Linked DNA regions of Saccharomyces cerevisiae S288C. The protein of the gene in region 3 interacts with the protein of the main gene of each other region in a biochemical or structural test. Each region holds a gene or a part of one and is shown on either strand. Other genes may lie near its edges.

The links. Proteins that work in one complex are often made in the same cells at the same time.
Region 1: the proteins of SHE2 (region 3) and PUF6 form a complex in vitro, tested with the Saccharomyces cerevisiae proteins (one study listed by BioGRID).
Region 2: the proteins of SHE2 (region 3) and MYO4 form a complex in vitro, tested with the Saccharomyces cerevisiae proteins (3 studies listed by BioGRID, with this or other methods).

The regions. Positions count from the first base shown.
Region 1 is NC_001136.10:1,439,846-1,445,329, reverse strand, and holds PUF6 (Puf6p), read left to right. Parts: upstream 1-1,926; coding exon 1,927-3,897; downstream 3,898-5,484. Other genes in the region: myo-inositol transporter ITR1, read left to right, coding at 1-1,617; CORVET complex subunit VPS3, read left to right, coding at 4,180-5,484. UniProt on the Saccharomyces cerevisiae protein: RNA-binding protein involved in post-transcriptional regulation. Component of the ASH1 mRNP which transports the ASH1 mRNA to the distal tip of the bud, where the ASH1 protein is translated and targeted to the daughter cell nucleus.
Region 2 is NC_001133.9:86,268-94,115, forward strand, and holds MYO4 (myosin 4), read right to left. Parts: upstream 6,004-7,848; coding exon 1,588-6,003; downstream 1-1,587. Other genes in the region: protein phosphatase regulator GIP4, read right to left, coding at 1-764; SNAP receptor SNC1, read left to right, coding at 1,019-1,120, 1,234-1,485; FRT2 (Frt2p), read left to right, coding at 6,633-7,848. UniProt on the Saccharomyces cerevisiae protein: Part of the mRNA localization machinery that restricts accumulation of certain proteins to the bud and in the daughter cell. Recruited to specific mRNAs including the ASH1 mRNA, coding for a repressor of the HO endonuclease, via its interaction with SHE3.
Region 3 is NC_001143.9:194,788-197,595, forward strand, and holds SHE2 (She2p), read right to left. Parts: upstream 1,242-2,808; coding exon 501-1,241; downstream 1-500. Other genes in the region: RMA1 (putative tetrahydrofolate synthase), read right to left, coding at 1-79; MYO3 (myosin 3), read right to left, coding at 1,562-2,808. UniProt on the Saccharomyces cerevisiae protein: RNA-binding protein that binds specific mRNAs including the ASH1 mRNA, coding for a repressor of the HO endonuclease. Part of the mRNA localization machinery that restricts accumulation of certain proteins to the bud and in the daughter cell.

The DNA.
Region 1 (5,484 bases), on a different chromosome or scaffold from region 3:
CATGAAATACAGAGGGCTCCCGCTAGCGATGATGAAGATAGGATTCAAATTAAACCCGTGAACGACGAGGATGACACGTCGGTCATGATCACTTTTAACCAATCTCTTTCGCCCTTCATCATCACTCTGACTTTTGTCGCATCCATATCCGGTTTCATGTTTGGTTACGACACTGGTTATATATCCAGTGCGCTGATCTCGATCGGCACAGATCTGGACCACAAGGTACTTACTTATGGGGAGAAGGAAATTGTCACTGCGGCTACCTCTCTGGGAGCTTTGATTACCAGTATTTTCGCCGGTACTGCAGCTGACATATTTGGTAGGAAACGTTGTTTAATGGGTTCGAATCTGATGTTTGTCATTGGCGCAATCTTACAGGTCTCCGCACACACATTCTGGCAAATGGCTGTTGGTAGACTGATCATGGGTTTCGGTGTCGGTATCGGCTCCTTGATCGCGCCACTTTTCATCAGTGAAATTGCTCCCAAAATGATCAGAGGGAGACTAACTGTCATCAATTCCTTATGGTTGACTGGTGGTCAATTAGTCGCTTACGGTTGCGGTGCTGGGTTAAACTACGTCAACAATGGTTGGAGAATTCTTGTTGGATTGTCACTAATTCCCACTGCTGTGCAATTCACATGCCTGTGCTTTTTACCTGACACTCCAAGATACTACGTTATGAAGGGCGACTTGGCAAGGGCTACTGAGGTGTTGAAGAGAAGTTACACTGACACTTCGGAGGAAATCATTGAACGTAAGGTGGAAGAACTTGTTACTTTGAATCAATCTATTCCTGGTAAGAATGTCCCTGAAAAAGTCTGGAATACCATCAAAGAATTGCACACAGTACCATCTAATCTAAGGGCTTTGATCATTGGTTGTGGTTTACAAGCAATTCAACAGTTTACCGGTTGGAATTCGTTGATGTATTTCTCTGGTACCATCTTCGAAACTGTCGGTTTCAAAAATTCTTCCGCTGTTTCAATCATCGTGTCCGGTACCAATTTTATTTTCACTTTAGTTGCCTTTTTTTCCATTGACAAAATAGGCCGTAGAACCATATTATTGATTGGATTACCAGGCATGACCATGGCTTTAGTCGTGTGCTCTATTGCTTTCCATTTTCTAGGTATTAAGTTTGATGGCGCTGTCGCTGTGGTGGTTTCCTCCGGTTTCTCCTCTTGGGGTATTGTGATCATCGTATTTATTATCGTATTTGCTGCGTTCTACGCTCTTGGTATCGGTACTGTTCCATGGCAACAATCGGAACTATTCCCCCAAAACGTGAGAGGTATTGGGACTTCATATGCAACTGCTACAAACTGGGCTGGTTCACTGGTTATTGCATCCACATTTTTGACCATGTTACAGAATATCACTCCTGCAGGTACATTTGCCTTTTTCGCGGGATTGTCGTGCTTATCAACCATTTTCTGCTACTTCTGTTATCCAGAATTATCGGGATTGGAGTTAGAAGAGGTACAAACTATTTTGAAGGACGGGTTCAACATCAAAGCCTCGAAAGCTTTGGCCAAGAAGAGAAAACAGCAAGTTGCCAGAGTTCATGAATTGAAATATGAACCAACTCAAGAGATTATAGAGGATATATAGTCCTTTCACGAGGTAAAAGGAAGGAGACGCAATTGAATATTCAAATACATAGTAGAAAATAAATAAAAATAAATTACAAGATAGAAAAAAGTTCATTGTATTTAAGTCGAACTAATTGTTGTATGCATATATAGAAGATTAACTAACCCGGCATTGAAGACCTTTTTTTTTTTTCACCTTGAGAGAAATACTGAAAATTTTTTTTGCTGGGATGAGATGAGATGCCTACCTAAAGTATTTCGAAGGTGAAAGCGTTTTATTATAGAGTACTGAAATAAAGCACAATCAGGAATAACAAATTAACTGACAATGGCACCTTTAACCAAGAAGACAAACGGAAAACGTTCTGCTAAAGAAGTTAGTCATTCAGAAAAGAAATTAGCCAAAAAACCTAGAATTTCTATTGATTCGTCTGATGAAGAATCAGAACTATCCAAAAAGGAAGATGCTGTATCCTCTTCATCAGATGATGATGATTTGGATGATTTAAGTACCAGTGACTCTGAAGCAGAAGAAGAAGCTGACGAATTAGATATTTCCGATGACAGTGAGGAACATGAAAATGAGAATGAAGAGAAAGAAGGAAAGGACAAATCTGAAGGAGGTGAAAATGGAAATCACACTGAACAAAGAAAACTGCTAAAAGAAAGGAAAATGCAAAGAAAATCTGGTACCCAAGTGCAACAAATTAAATCCGTCTGGGAAAGATTGCGTGTGAAGACCCCACCTTTACCAAAACAGATTCGTGAAAAACTTTCCAACGAAATCTGGGAGCTATCTAAGGACTGTATCAGTGATCTTGTCTTAAAGCATGATGCTTCCCGTATTGTTCAAACTTTAGTCAAGTATTCGTCCAAAGATCGTCGTGAACAAATTGTCGATGCTTTAAAGGGAAAATTTTATGTTCTAGCCACATCTGCGTACGGTAAGTATCTATTGGTTAAGTTACTGCATTATGGTTCAAGAAGTTCAAGGCAAACTATAATAAATGAATTACACGGTTCTTTGAGAAAATTAATGAGACATCGTGAGGGTGCCTACGTTGTTGAAGATTTATTTGTTCTTTATGCCACACATGAACAAAGACAACAAATGATTAAAGAGTTTTGGGGCTCTGAATATGCTGTATTTAGAGAAACCCACAAAGATTTGACCATTGAGAAAGTTTGTGAAAGTAGCATTGAAAAAAGGAATATTATCGCCAGAAACTTGATTGGTACCATTACCGCATCAGTAGAAAAGGGTTCCACCGGCTTTCAAATTCTACATGCTGCTATGAGAGAATATGTGAAAATAGCCAACGAAAAGGAAATATCTGAAATGATCGAATTGCTTCATGAACAATTCGCTGAATTGGTGCATACTCCAGAAGGTTCAGACGTTGCTTGTACTTTGGTTGCTAGAGCTAACGCCAAGGAAAGAAAGTTAATTTTAAAGGCTTTGAAAAACCACGCCGAAAAATTGATCAAAAATGAGTACGGTAATATTGTCTTCATTACAATTCTGAACTGTGTTGACGATACAGTTTTAGTATTCAAGACTTTCAGTCCTACTGTTAAGGAACATTTGCAAGAATTCATAATTGATAAGTTTGGTAGAAGGCCTTGGTTATACATACTATTAGGTTTGGACGGTAAGTATTTCTCACCTATCGTCAAGAATGAATTATTGAGATACATTGAACTGTCCAAAGCCACCTCTAAGAAGGATCCTTTACAAAGAAGGCACGAACTTTTGTCAAAATTCGCCCCCATGTTTTTAAGCACTATATCAAAAGATTATTCCAGTATATTGACAGAGAATCTAGGCTGTCAGTTCATTGCCGAAGTTCTAATAAACGATGAGTTGTACGCGCAGCTGAATGAAAAAGACCAAGAAAAGTATCAACAGGTCTTAAACAACATTTTAACTACTTTTAAGGGTGACATAACCGAAGAAGAGCACCCAATACATAGAGCATTTTCTACTAGACTATTAAAGGCACTAATTCAAGGTGGTAAATGGAATAACAAAGAAAAAAAGGTCATACCATTAAAAAATGTTCAAGGCTTAGGCGTTCCATTTGCTGAAAAGTTATACGATGAAATTATTGACTCCTCCAACTTGTTAGAATGGATTAATAACGCTGATAGTTCATTTACAATTGTTGCACTGTATGAAACGTTAAAAGATCAAAAAGAAGGGAAACCATTTTTGAAGGATTTGAGAGGAGTTCAGAGTAAAATCACCACTGATGAAAGTAACAAAGGCTCTCAGCTTTTGGCTAAATTGTTAAAATAAATTTTCTACGATAAAGTCACAATATTTGGTATATAAGCATCTGTACAATAATAATAAAAAGCTTGATCTCATTGAAAGTGCAGGTATATATAATTGTCTCCTAAAAACTCCTTACATCGCATAATATCTGTTGAAGATACCGTTCCGATGGGAAAAAAAGGCAAGTTTAACTGGAAATATTCATATGTACTTACTATTTTATAACGACATTAGTGAATCAGAACTATCATAACAGTCAAGGAGACTACCTTTTTTTGGTTGCAACCATAATATTATAGAACCATGGTAAAAAAGAAAACGAATAATGACAAAGGAAAAGAAGTAAAGGAAAATGAAGGAAAGCTCGATATAGATAGCGAATCCTCACCTCACGAAAGAGAAAATGACAAAAAAAAAACAGAAGATGATAGTCTACGTGCAACAGAAAGTGAAGAGACGAATACACATAATGCTAACCCAAATGAAACAGTACGAGCTGATAAATTTTCCCAGGAAGAGAGTCGACCAATCGAAGACAGTCCACATACTGATAAAAACACAGCACAAGAAAGCTGTCAGCCTAGCAGCGCAGAAGATAATGTCATAAATACAGATATTACAAGCTTAAATGAAAAAACCTCCACGAATGATGAACAGGAAAAAGGGTTGCCACTGAAAATAAGCGAAGGTCCTTTTACAATCTCTACCCTATTAGACAATGTACCATCTGACTTGATATACACATGTTGTGAGGCGTATGAGAACCACATATTCTTGGGAACAACTACAGGTGATCTTTTACATTACTTTGAACTTGAACGTGGAAACTATATGCTTGTGTCGCAAACAAAGTTTGATGCAGAATCAAATTCGAAGATAGACAAAATCCTTCTTTTACCTAAAGTAGAAGGCGCACTAATATTATGTGATAACGAACTAGTTTTATTTATTCTCCCAGAATTTGCACCAAGGCCCAACACAACTAGACTTAAAGGTATTAGTGATGTCGTTATTTGTAATTTTTCCCGAAGCTCGAAGGCTTATAGAATATATGCATTTCACGCAGAAGGCGTAAGACTACTCAAAATATCTGCAGATTCATTAGTACTTACCAAAGCTTTTAATTTCAAACTAATAGATAAAGCTTGTGCGCACGAAGAAACATTAATGGTTTCGAAGTTAAATAGTTACGAACTTATAAATCTAAAGTCGTCACAGGTAATTCCATTATTTCGAATAAGTGAGACTGACGAAGACTTAGAACCTATAATAACCAGTTTCAATGAACAGAGTGAATTTTTAGTTTGTTCTGGAGGAGGATCATACGATAGTGGGGCGATGGCCTTAGTGGTAAATCATCATGGCGACATAATAAAAGGAACTATAGTGCTAAAAAATTATCCAAGAAATGTAATTGTTGAGTTTCCCTACATAATCGCTGAGTCTGCTTTCCAGTCGGTTGACATATATTCTGCCTTGCCGAGTGAAAAATCCCAGTTGTTGCAAAGTATAACTACTTCTGGATCGGATTTAAAAATTTCAAAATCTGACAATGTATTCACTAATACCAATAATTCTGAAGAATTCAAAGAAAAAATATTCAATAAG
Region 2 (7,848 bases), on a different chromosome or scaffold from region 3:
AATTTCTGCAATTGGTTGTAATATGTCCTTAGAATGGGGAAGATTTTCGAATGAACACAGGAGTTCAGTTTCTCCATCACTTGCCATTGCAATTTGTAAAAGGAATGGGTGGACTTATCCCTTACTGGATCATTAATCAAAACGGCTAAATCTAGAATCAATGTCATTTCAACTGGATTTAACAAGTCTTCAATTATTGAAGTGTCAAATGGAAGTGACCGAGCTTTGTACGCATCCCTTTCCAATAAAATCTGTCTCAACTTGGCATTATAAATTTTTATAGCATTTTGAGCAATGCAAGACAGCGAATTTAAAATCTTCCATTGTAGAGAATTATTGTATATGCACGATTTATAGTGATCTAGGGGTACCTCCTCGGGAAACATCCAGCCCTCTACATCAATAAAATTAGTTGATAATCTCTGCTGCACTTCGCTTAGCTTTATCAGCTGGAATCGACAGAGCAAATGGTACCTCTTAGCCAATACGGGGCTTACATTAAATATAGGACCCTCACAAAGTGATAAGATGAAATTAACGAGGGGAATAATTTTGTAGGACTCGTCATTGTCTCTTTTCTTCTTCAAATGCGGTACCAGAACGTTTAGTAGCCTATTCAGTTCATTCAGCTTGTAAAGAGCGTTCTTATATTGAATGATTTTTATATCATACGAGTCCAACGGAACAGAACCTTTGATTGCCGGAATAGAAGCGCTGGCAGCAGCTTTGGCTAGCAACTTTTTTCTCTTTTGCACATCTACCATGTTGTAATATAAAACTAGTCTAAATCCTCAACCTTCAGCTTCCAATCACTCCTTTTATCATTGTTCATTCGCTAACAAACTTCAAACATATGCCTTTATTATGCGTCTTCCTGCTGTTTCAACCATTGATTGCAGGGTAACAGACATTTTTAAGGGTCTTTCCCACAGCATCTATAAGAAAGATCGTCAAAAGTATTAGTTAAACATTGAAAATTTGCGCCAAAGACATAGCAAGCGCAACGTATTCATTGTCCATGTCGTCATCTACTCCCTTTGACCCTTATGCTCTATCCGAGCACGATGAAGAACGACCCCAGAATGTACAGTCTAAGTCAAGGACTGCGGAACTACAAGCTGTAAGTACAGAAAGCCACAGAGTACCATCTAGGAAATTAACATTATACTAACTTTCTACATCGTTGATACTTATGCGTATACATTCATATACGTTCTTCGTGTTTATTTTTAGGAAATTGATGATACCGTGGGAATAATGAGAGATAACATAAATAAAGTAGCAGAAAGAGGTGAAAGATTAACGTCCATTGAAGATAAAGCCGATAACCTAGCGGTCTCAGCCCAAGGCTTTAAGAGGGGTGCCAATAGGGTCAGAAAAGCCATGTGGTACAAGGATCTAAAAATGAAGATGTGTCTGGCTTTAGTAATCATCATATTGCTTGTTGTAATCATCGTCCCCATTGCTGTTCACTTTAGTCGATAGAAGTTCACTCGCAATGCTATATATATAGGGAGCTTCCATATGTAGTGTAGGATATATGTATATATACATATATACATATATGGGCGTATATTTACTTTGTTCTTATTTTCTGTCTAATTTTATAATTTTACTGACAGTAGCTAAGCCCTCTGTATTGCTGTTCTGTGTTATTGCACTAGTGTCATAACGCAGATGGTTTTTAGCAGAGTCAAATTGGGCAGAAAGCATAATTTCCATCTTCCCTGGCAAAGACAGATTTTCTCTTTTGATCACGTTAGCTAAATAATTCAAGATTTCGTTCGGTACTCCAGCTTCGCCCTTGTTAGCAGGCTTGTATTTCAACAGAATTGCTTGTATTTGGGCTGGATTCAAGGCATACCAGAAATCGAATAGTAACTTGAACTCGTTCAAGTTGCTTATCTTCAACTGTAATATCTTGACAGCCTGAATTATTTGAATCAAATTGGGACGAACGTCTTCAATTCTTGGTTCAAACCAGCTCACCAACCGCTCGATATTTCTATCCACTTCGTACCCATACTTCCAATTTAACGCGGGACATTTGGTTATTAGGTCATTAAATAGCATTACGTTCAGATACTTCAGGGTGTCGTTAAAAATTTTTGTATGCATTGAGTCAACAACTTGAAATTTACACAAGACAGCATCAAATTCATTTAAGAATGTGAATAATTTAGCGAACTTCTCATCACCAGAATTTTTAAATAGCTTCTCGTTTAAAACCATATCGAAGATCTCGATGTGGGCTGAAGCATGCTTCATGAATTTCACTAACCAAGTGGAATAAATCTTGTCGAATACTTTTAAAGTTTCATTCTCCAAATCATTCAAATATATCAGTGTTAACTTATCTTTTTCATCACCACCATTCGCTTCATATAATGTTTTTTGATTTGCAGCAAATGCGGGAAGTCTGGAAAGATTACTTAACCAAAAGATACCACCAAGCATTGTTTCGTCCTTTGGTAGACTCATAACAATGCTTTCTACAGTCAATAGGACTTTCGAGATGAATTTGCTACTTTGAATCAATAACCCATTTCTCACTAAGCTACTTACCACTGTAGTAATGACGTGTATAGGACCCAGAACATTGTCTCCATTCACCTCAGTAACATTTACTTTTTTCAAGTAACCTTCTGTGACTTCTAATGTGTAACAATTCAGGTCCATTAGTAATTCTAGAAGATCAGGATTTCCTGATTCTCTACGAATTACATTGACTAGCTTCGGTTTTACTTGTTGTCCTGCGATTCCCAAACCTTTCACTTTATCATTCTTATTAGCAGAATATGTGGTGGTGAAATCTTGTGCTATTACGTTTTCAATAAACGCTAGTTCTTGCTTCATTGATTTGACTTCATCACTTAATCTTGAAGGTTTGTTACCTTTTATAGCAGCCAAACTTTGCATATGTGACTGTATTAAAGAAGATTGCTTCTTTTTTCTCTCCTTCAAGGCATTCTTCTTGTTTAAAGTATTCATGATTTCAACTTGTAACGTCTTCAGCTTGGAAATCTTATCATTATAACCATTTACTATCGTTTCGTACTCTTGCCTTTGCTTAGATGGAATATTTGACAAATCTCCCTGCAACAACTGTGTTAATCTTGTATATGAGTCATTTAACATCTCTAGATTCAAAATGAAAGAGTTCTTAAATTCGATAGCTTCCTCCAGTAATCCAATCCCGTAACTAGCCCTAATATTCCGTTCTTCAACTTCTTTTTGCAGAACTATATACCTTCGTCTAGCTAACTGCATTCTCATGGCGCTTTGTACAAGAATGGAGCTCCTTTTCAATGTTCTGTAATCTGTTTTGTGACCATATGATCTGATGTAGCTTTGGATAATTACTGCCGCCATGAGCATGAATTTCCTGTTAACACTATCTAAAATCAATTTTCTTTTACAGGTACATTGTAGTTTTATTATTTGCCCAATGGCAGCTCTATAGTATTCCCGTTTCCATAATGCTCTAATGTTCGTTTGTAGTAATATGGCAGCTCTTGTCTTGAGCTCATGATCGACCCTTGTACGAACCAACAAACTTCTAATTTGGCTTTGGCACTTCTTTATTGATTCCATGGTCTGCAAATACTGAAGCCTATAGTATCTTGCCCTTATCTTTTTCTGTATTATGATGCATATTTCATTCATTTTATTAGTCCTTAGCTTTTCCAAAAATGCAAGCATTCCTGCTTTAAAGAAAATTTTGGTATTACCAATTTGGTATTTTGCTGAATCAGAGATAGTAGCATCTAGAATAGATTGACAGAAGTTGACGATTGCCTCTTTTGGGAGGTCTGGATTATAAAGAATTCCACTCCATAAGCTGTAGTCCGTCAGGAGGAAATATCTTTGAACGAATTCGTCAAAAGTCCATCTTGATGGAAAGCCTGCACATGAAATCCTGATTGTTTCCAGCACACCACAAGCTCTTAATTGCGATAAGACCATCAAATTATCGAACTCCCATGGCTTTTTTTCAGAATTTGGTTTTATGCAACGAATATAATGAACATTAGTAGAATTTATGATGGCCATCAATTCCCCGAGCGATTTTTTGAACATAGATCCCAGGGTTGGTTTCTTTTGACTTAATCTTGCTGGGATCATTATCTTTTTTTCAGTATTTTGCTCTTCAGGAGCATCGTCACTCCTAAGTTCTCTGTTGTCTAAAATTTGTTTGAAAATTGGATTTGTCGTTGCTTTGAAAACATCCAGATGACCTAGGGAAACGCTGTCTCTATTCTTTTCAATAAACCCTTCAACTTCATATTCTACATCAACAGCATAATGGCTTACTATAAACTTCGTTTGTCCGAATCTTGGCTTCGAAAAAACTTCATTTGAGGGCGGTTTATTAAAGGCAGAATATAGTTTTGAGGCCCATGATTCATCTGAGCCTGATGGTAATCTACTTTCTTCATCTAATAGAGAAAGTATTCCAAGTTTATTCTCAATCAAGTCTATGCAAGGTTGGTTGTCGCTGAACTCAATGAAAGACCACTCAATTTCCTCCTTTACATATTCTTCTTGCTCCAATTTGAAAACGTGCTGGTTGAACTCTTGTTGTAATTTTTCATTCGCATAGTTTATACAGAATTGTTCGAATGAGTTTTTCTCAAAATGCTCAAACCCGTAGATATCTAAAATACCAATAAAGGAAAAGACATGATCTTGTTGATCCAGCTCAGGATCGTATAATGTCTTGTTAATGTTGTCTACTAGCCAATCAAAAAGCGTGGAATAAATAAATTTCGCCACAGAGTCCCTAGCAATTAGCGCTTGATTGTAATTCAAATTAGTGACAATTTTTTCAGACCTTGTGACGATTTGTTTCTTGACAATCCATTTTGCAAAATTGAAGGGATCAATACCCAATAATTCACATGCGATTTGCAGGTTTTGCTCTTCCGATGATAGTGATGCGTCGTTTCTAGTCATTTTCATCTCGATATTACCTATATGTAGCAAGCCTGCAAGAATTTTGAAAATTCCAAGCTGAGTCTCGTGGTTTATACCTACTAATGACAGGGCATCAGTGGTTATCTTGTATTCTCGAGCTTCATCTATACCAGCTATGTTCGGCTGTCCACCTTGGTTAGTATAATGGTAGTCCTTGGGAGATGACAAATGCAGTTCTTGTTTTACCGGTTCTGGCAATCCTTCCAAAATTTGGTAAAAAATATGGTAATTTCTTTCTGTCTCTGGCTGATAAACTAACCTGGATTTTTCCAAGAGATAGGTTCTAATTTTGGACCCCCTGATGGTAGTATTCTCATCAAATAAAATTTGCAGATATTTGCCGAAACGAGAGGAATTATCATTTCTGGTAGTTTTGGCGTTACCAAAGGCTTCCATGATCGGGTTAGTAGCTAAAATTTGGCTCTCGATTTGAGACATTTCCACTTCCCCTTCACGATTGTTGCTTTCTTGGACTGAGGCAAAGTATCTCATAATGTATTTAGCAGAGACGGTCTTACCAGCACCGGATTCACCACTGACTACAACAGTCTGGTTAGCCTTTTCATGGACCATGAACCTGTACGCCTCCTCTGCTATGGCAAAAAGGTGCGGCTCCAGCTCATCTTTACGCTTACTAGAATAATTCTGTATCATCTCGCGAGAGTACAAATGGTCGACTTTATCAAAGGGATTAGCGGCAATAAGGACAATACCAGAGTAAGTATATATCTGTCCATTCATGTATCTTTTTTTTATGGCATGCAGCACTGCCGGTTCGTTCAGATATGATAGGGTGGTTAAGTCATCAGTAGACTCTAAAATAGGTGGGTTTCGTAGTACAGGTAGCGTGGGATGATCATCATCATTTTCGAAGCTATTTGTTTCAATGGATACAGTTTCTCCATCCTCCAATTTCAACTCTAAGTGGAACGTTCCTTCAAAGAAGTCATTCTTGGTGACTTCGCCGCCTATCCAGCCTTGTTCTTTGTGAGGGTACCAACACTTAGTTCCTACTTCAAATGACATGCGGGAGAACTGGTTATAGGATTTTTTTTGTTTTTTTGTGTTTTAGAATTAGATTGAATTATAAAAAGAAGAACAAAAGGGTATCGTATTGAAAATAAATTGTCTCGCCAAACTGGTAACAATGTTTTCAGCTAGAACAATAAGAAAAGAAGAGAAGGTAAAAAAAAAGGTGATAACTCCGTAGGAATTGAGGAATTGAGTATGCAGAATCAGAATAAAGGCTGACTTTCAAAAAAAGGTTGTATTACAATTGCAGGTTTTCGATAAAAGAGACCCTATTCTCATCTACTACTGCTAAACTTCGAGATATTTTCGAATTTTTCAGTCTTTTCTTTTTTTTTTTTCGCATTAGTTCAGAACCCTAAAGAATGGTAAACATTCTATGGATAACCCGGAGAGTGAGTTTCTTAAAGACCTAGTTTTATTTTAAGGGTTTTAACTCAATCTTGATGTTTTCATTGTGTACCCTAAAGAAAGTTTAAGAATAGCCCTAACTGTTACCTTTTGAAATAAAATAAGGGGAAGGTCAAAAAGCTATTGTTCTATTGTTATGAAACATTGTCTCAAAGAGTAAGAATAACACAAATTGATGGCAGTTTTTTACGTAGTCCAGTAGTTGTCCAGGTACAATGCAAAATGCTCAAATAAAGAGCTCTTCTAAAGGCAGCGGAATAGATGGTACAGATCGCAATAGCAAAGATGGTGTAGAAAAGAGACCCCTGGAAGATGTAAAGCAAATGATTGACGCTGGAACACCAGATGTTGGCCACAAATCTACTGTTGAAACTAAGCCAAACGTTGGATGGCAAGCCTCTCACAGTAATTTGGCTGCATTACACGAAAAAGAGCAGAAATATGAAATGGAGCACCATCATGCTCGTCATAAACTGCATCGTCAAGTTATTCCGGATTACACGTCTGCCTCGACCGCAATGTTCAGCGATTGTATGTTCAACGCAGCACCAGATAAAGTACGAAGTCTCAGTACGATGAAGTCTTCTGGACTCTCGCCAAAACACCCATTTAACGTAGTCGCCACCTTTAAAGGACCATTCCCGCAGCATAGTGTAGAATCAAAGCCTCTCGATGGTGGATACTCTGCCAAAGACCATTTTCCCTCATTTAAGATGTTGCAAGCCCAGCAGCACCCAGCCCATCGCCATTACAAAGACAACGACAAGTACGGTCTTAAATCACCTTCCCGGTCCTTCGTGAAGGACAAGAAAAGGTTGGTTCACCGGTTTTTGAAATCCATGGAGCCTTCTTCGTCTGGGCAATCTAAGGATTCGTCTGCACTGGCGCCGGCTTTCGATCCAATATTGCCCAATGTTATATCTAAGCCTTCCAAGCGACCCACACATCATTCGCATTCATCAGACGGGAGTTCTAGCACGCAGACAGATATATCGTTACAGAGCTTGCTTTACCATGATCTTGAAAGCTCACCAAAGAAACATGTTTCGCCCTCAAGACCGCCCTCTGTAGCTTCCGAATCCTCTCCTGCCGTTGCTAATCCCATTGGGCTTTCGCCAAAAGACGCCTGCAATGCATCGTTTTCGCAGTCGTCCTCATCTTCGTTGTCTTCTTCTTCATCGTCTTCATCATCGACGTCATTCTCACAGTCAGTGGCTGTTGATCCTCTTGAACCTCCTGGAAATATCACATATAGTAGTTCGAATCTTTCGCTAAATTCAGATGAATTAGACTACTATCAGCGTCATATCGGATTGCAGTTACAGCAGACAGAAGCTTTACTAAAGCACAGTTTGAAAGATGAGGTTCTGAAAGATGAAAATGACCTTGTTAAAAACATTGCAAATTTTGACAAGATCGTTAAAGAGCTAA
Region 3 (2,808 bases):
AACTATCTTGGGGATTTCCCACGTGCTCCAACAAACGGTTTATTCGAGGTAAAGTTTGCCTTCCGCTTATATCATCCATCTGCTTCTTATGTAATCTGTTGCCGGCCAAACGAGCAATATTATTCTATATCAAAATCGTCAGGAAACTGGTCGACTTGACTCAAGTTTCATTAAGACAAGAATATAAATTTAAAAAATCATTATTGACCTAAATTGGGGTCCCTCCCACATCAGAGGAGGCTTCATTTTAGGCTATAGTTCCTCATATTTTTTTTCCTTGGCACACCTGCCATTCTCCTTTGCATACCTATTGTATCAAAAAGTGAGAAAAAAACAGCGCGGTTTGAGATGCTGAAAATGAGTACGCCAGAATAAGAGCCGATCATCAGTGTTTTGAAAGCTTACTTTCTGTGCTATGTGATGAGGCTATTCATGTATATATATATGTTCTATTAACTAGTGGTACTTATTTGCTCTTTTTGAGCTAAAAACTGAAGGCCTCAGTTTTTCAATTTACCAAATTTGTCATGCCATTTAGTAGCGACAACATCAAATTCTTCGTCCAAGGCGCTCAGCTTACCATCTAAAATGGAGTGCCACGCAGCTGACAAGGTCTGAAATTCTTCTTCGGAGTTGACAGGAAGAATCTCCTGCAAGAAGATATTATCAGTTTCTCCGATATTCGTTCCGTCCTCATCTGCGCATTTAATGGCAAATTGAACAACTTCTAAATCTAGCAGGTTGCTGCCTATACGCAAAGACTCAATCATCCATTGAGAAAATTTCACGAAATGATTGTAGGTATCGTCAATGGCTAATATGGACTCTGCTGTTAGCGTTAGGTCCTCGTTCAAAGTTTTAGATAAAATTTCCTTTTGTAATGACTGCGTTAGATAATAGTTCAGTAAGTCAAACGTTTCAACACATTTAACAAACATTGAAGCTATTGGTAAAATTACCTTGTCAAACGAATCCGCCTCTGGGTCTAATTCGTTTTTACCTTCATTGATAAACTCTGATGCATTATAGCTTAACACACAATCGTTGTAAAATCTCAATTTCTTAACAAATTTAATCAAAGTAGTTCTCTCGAATCGTAGCGTAGCTACCCTTCGCAAATGACTGATGAACTTGTTCAGCACGTGAATATAAGATGAGAGATACCGGGAGAGTAAGGCGAGTATTTGTTCAACTAATTCACAAGTTCCAGGAGTGACTTTGATATCTTTGTCTTTGCTCATTTTTAAGTGTCTGGTATTATGCAAAAGGAAAATTAAGGAGGGTTTACTGTGCTTTCTCTTTTTTTGAGAAAAATGTCTTGAGTAAAGTGAGGATTTTACTGTCAAATCTTTAAAGCTTGTTTTGAACGATGTCCTGCATTAAAGTGGGAGTTTTTCAAAACGGGAAAATACAAACAAAAAATGAAAAAAAAAAAAAAAAAGGGACTTTAACTTTCTGCGAGAGTATGTTTAAAAGTATATGTAATGCACTTTTGGTATGTTAAGAGGCATGCACGAAGAACCATTCTATAAGAGACTAAACATCTATATATTCATGTTAATTACCAGTCATCATCATCATCGCCATCGTCATTATCATCATCGTCAGCACTTTCCGCCCGCATTTTGTTTGCTCTTGCTGCCAATGCAGAAGCTAAACCGTCGCTAAACGTCCCCACCGGATTACTCTGATTATCACTAGTGGGTCCAACTGTTGCACTTCCAAACTGTACACCTTCTTGTGCACTTGAAATGGTATTGTCGATTTGGCTTGATTTCTGATTTGTAACGTCATTCACTGCCCCTGTCGCTGCAACAGGCACCGTATTTCTTGTGTCTTTATAAGGAGTCATATAAGCAGTAGGAACCCAACCTTCTTTGCTTCCATCGAGAAGCTTTGCTAAAGACCAACCACTAGGTTCATCTCTGCTTATAAATACAATATCGCCCTTTTTTAATGGCAACTCCGAAGATGATCCGGAACCTGGAAAGTCGTATGCAGCTTCGAATTTCGGATCCTTTGGTTGGCCCATGGGGGGAGGGGGTGGTGGTATTGGTATGTTTGCAGTTGCAGTTGCAGTTGTCTCCTTTAACGGTTCTTTATTTTTTTCAACCCCTTTTGAAGGTGGCATCGATACCTGGTTTTGCTTGGCGGATGAGGATTTGTGGCTTGAGGAGGCTTTCTTTACTGCGACTTTTTCCTTCGATGAGGGTTTTGAGCTGTGTTTCGAGCTTACTTTTGCAGCAGGGATTGCAGATGACTTTATTGGTACGGTCTTATCCGGTTTAGGATTGTATGCTGCCTGTGCAGCGGTAGCTGCCAAAGATAACGGATTCACAGGTTTTTGCGAAGGGAGAGGTTGCTTTTTTGCAGCATCCCTATGACTTCTATGGCTATGTGTATGCTTATGAGTAGATTTGTGTTTACTCTTTTTGCTTTTGATAGGTTTCCCGCTCAACCCACCTGGATTCTTAGGTTTTTTATTCGATTTGGAGTTAGCAGGGTGTCCACGACGCACGTATATTGTACTTGACTTGTAGATGTCACCGTATTTCGGTGCTGAATCGCTTATCTTTGAGCGGACAGTGTGCAACTTGTTTGGTTGTTTGTGATACTCAATCGTGGGACCAACTTTTATCATTATCTTTTCATTTAATTTTTTCAAACGTGTCATTAATTCCGTCTTGAAAGGCGTGTTAATGAGTGGATCGGATTGTGTACTATTAACAAGGATAACGCCCATCCAATCGTCTTGGAGGTTTGTTAAGCTCACTTGTTTAATTTTACCGACATCAATTTTATAATCTT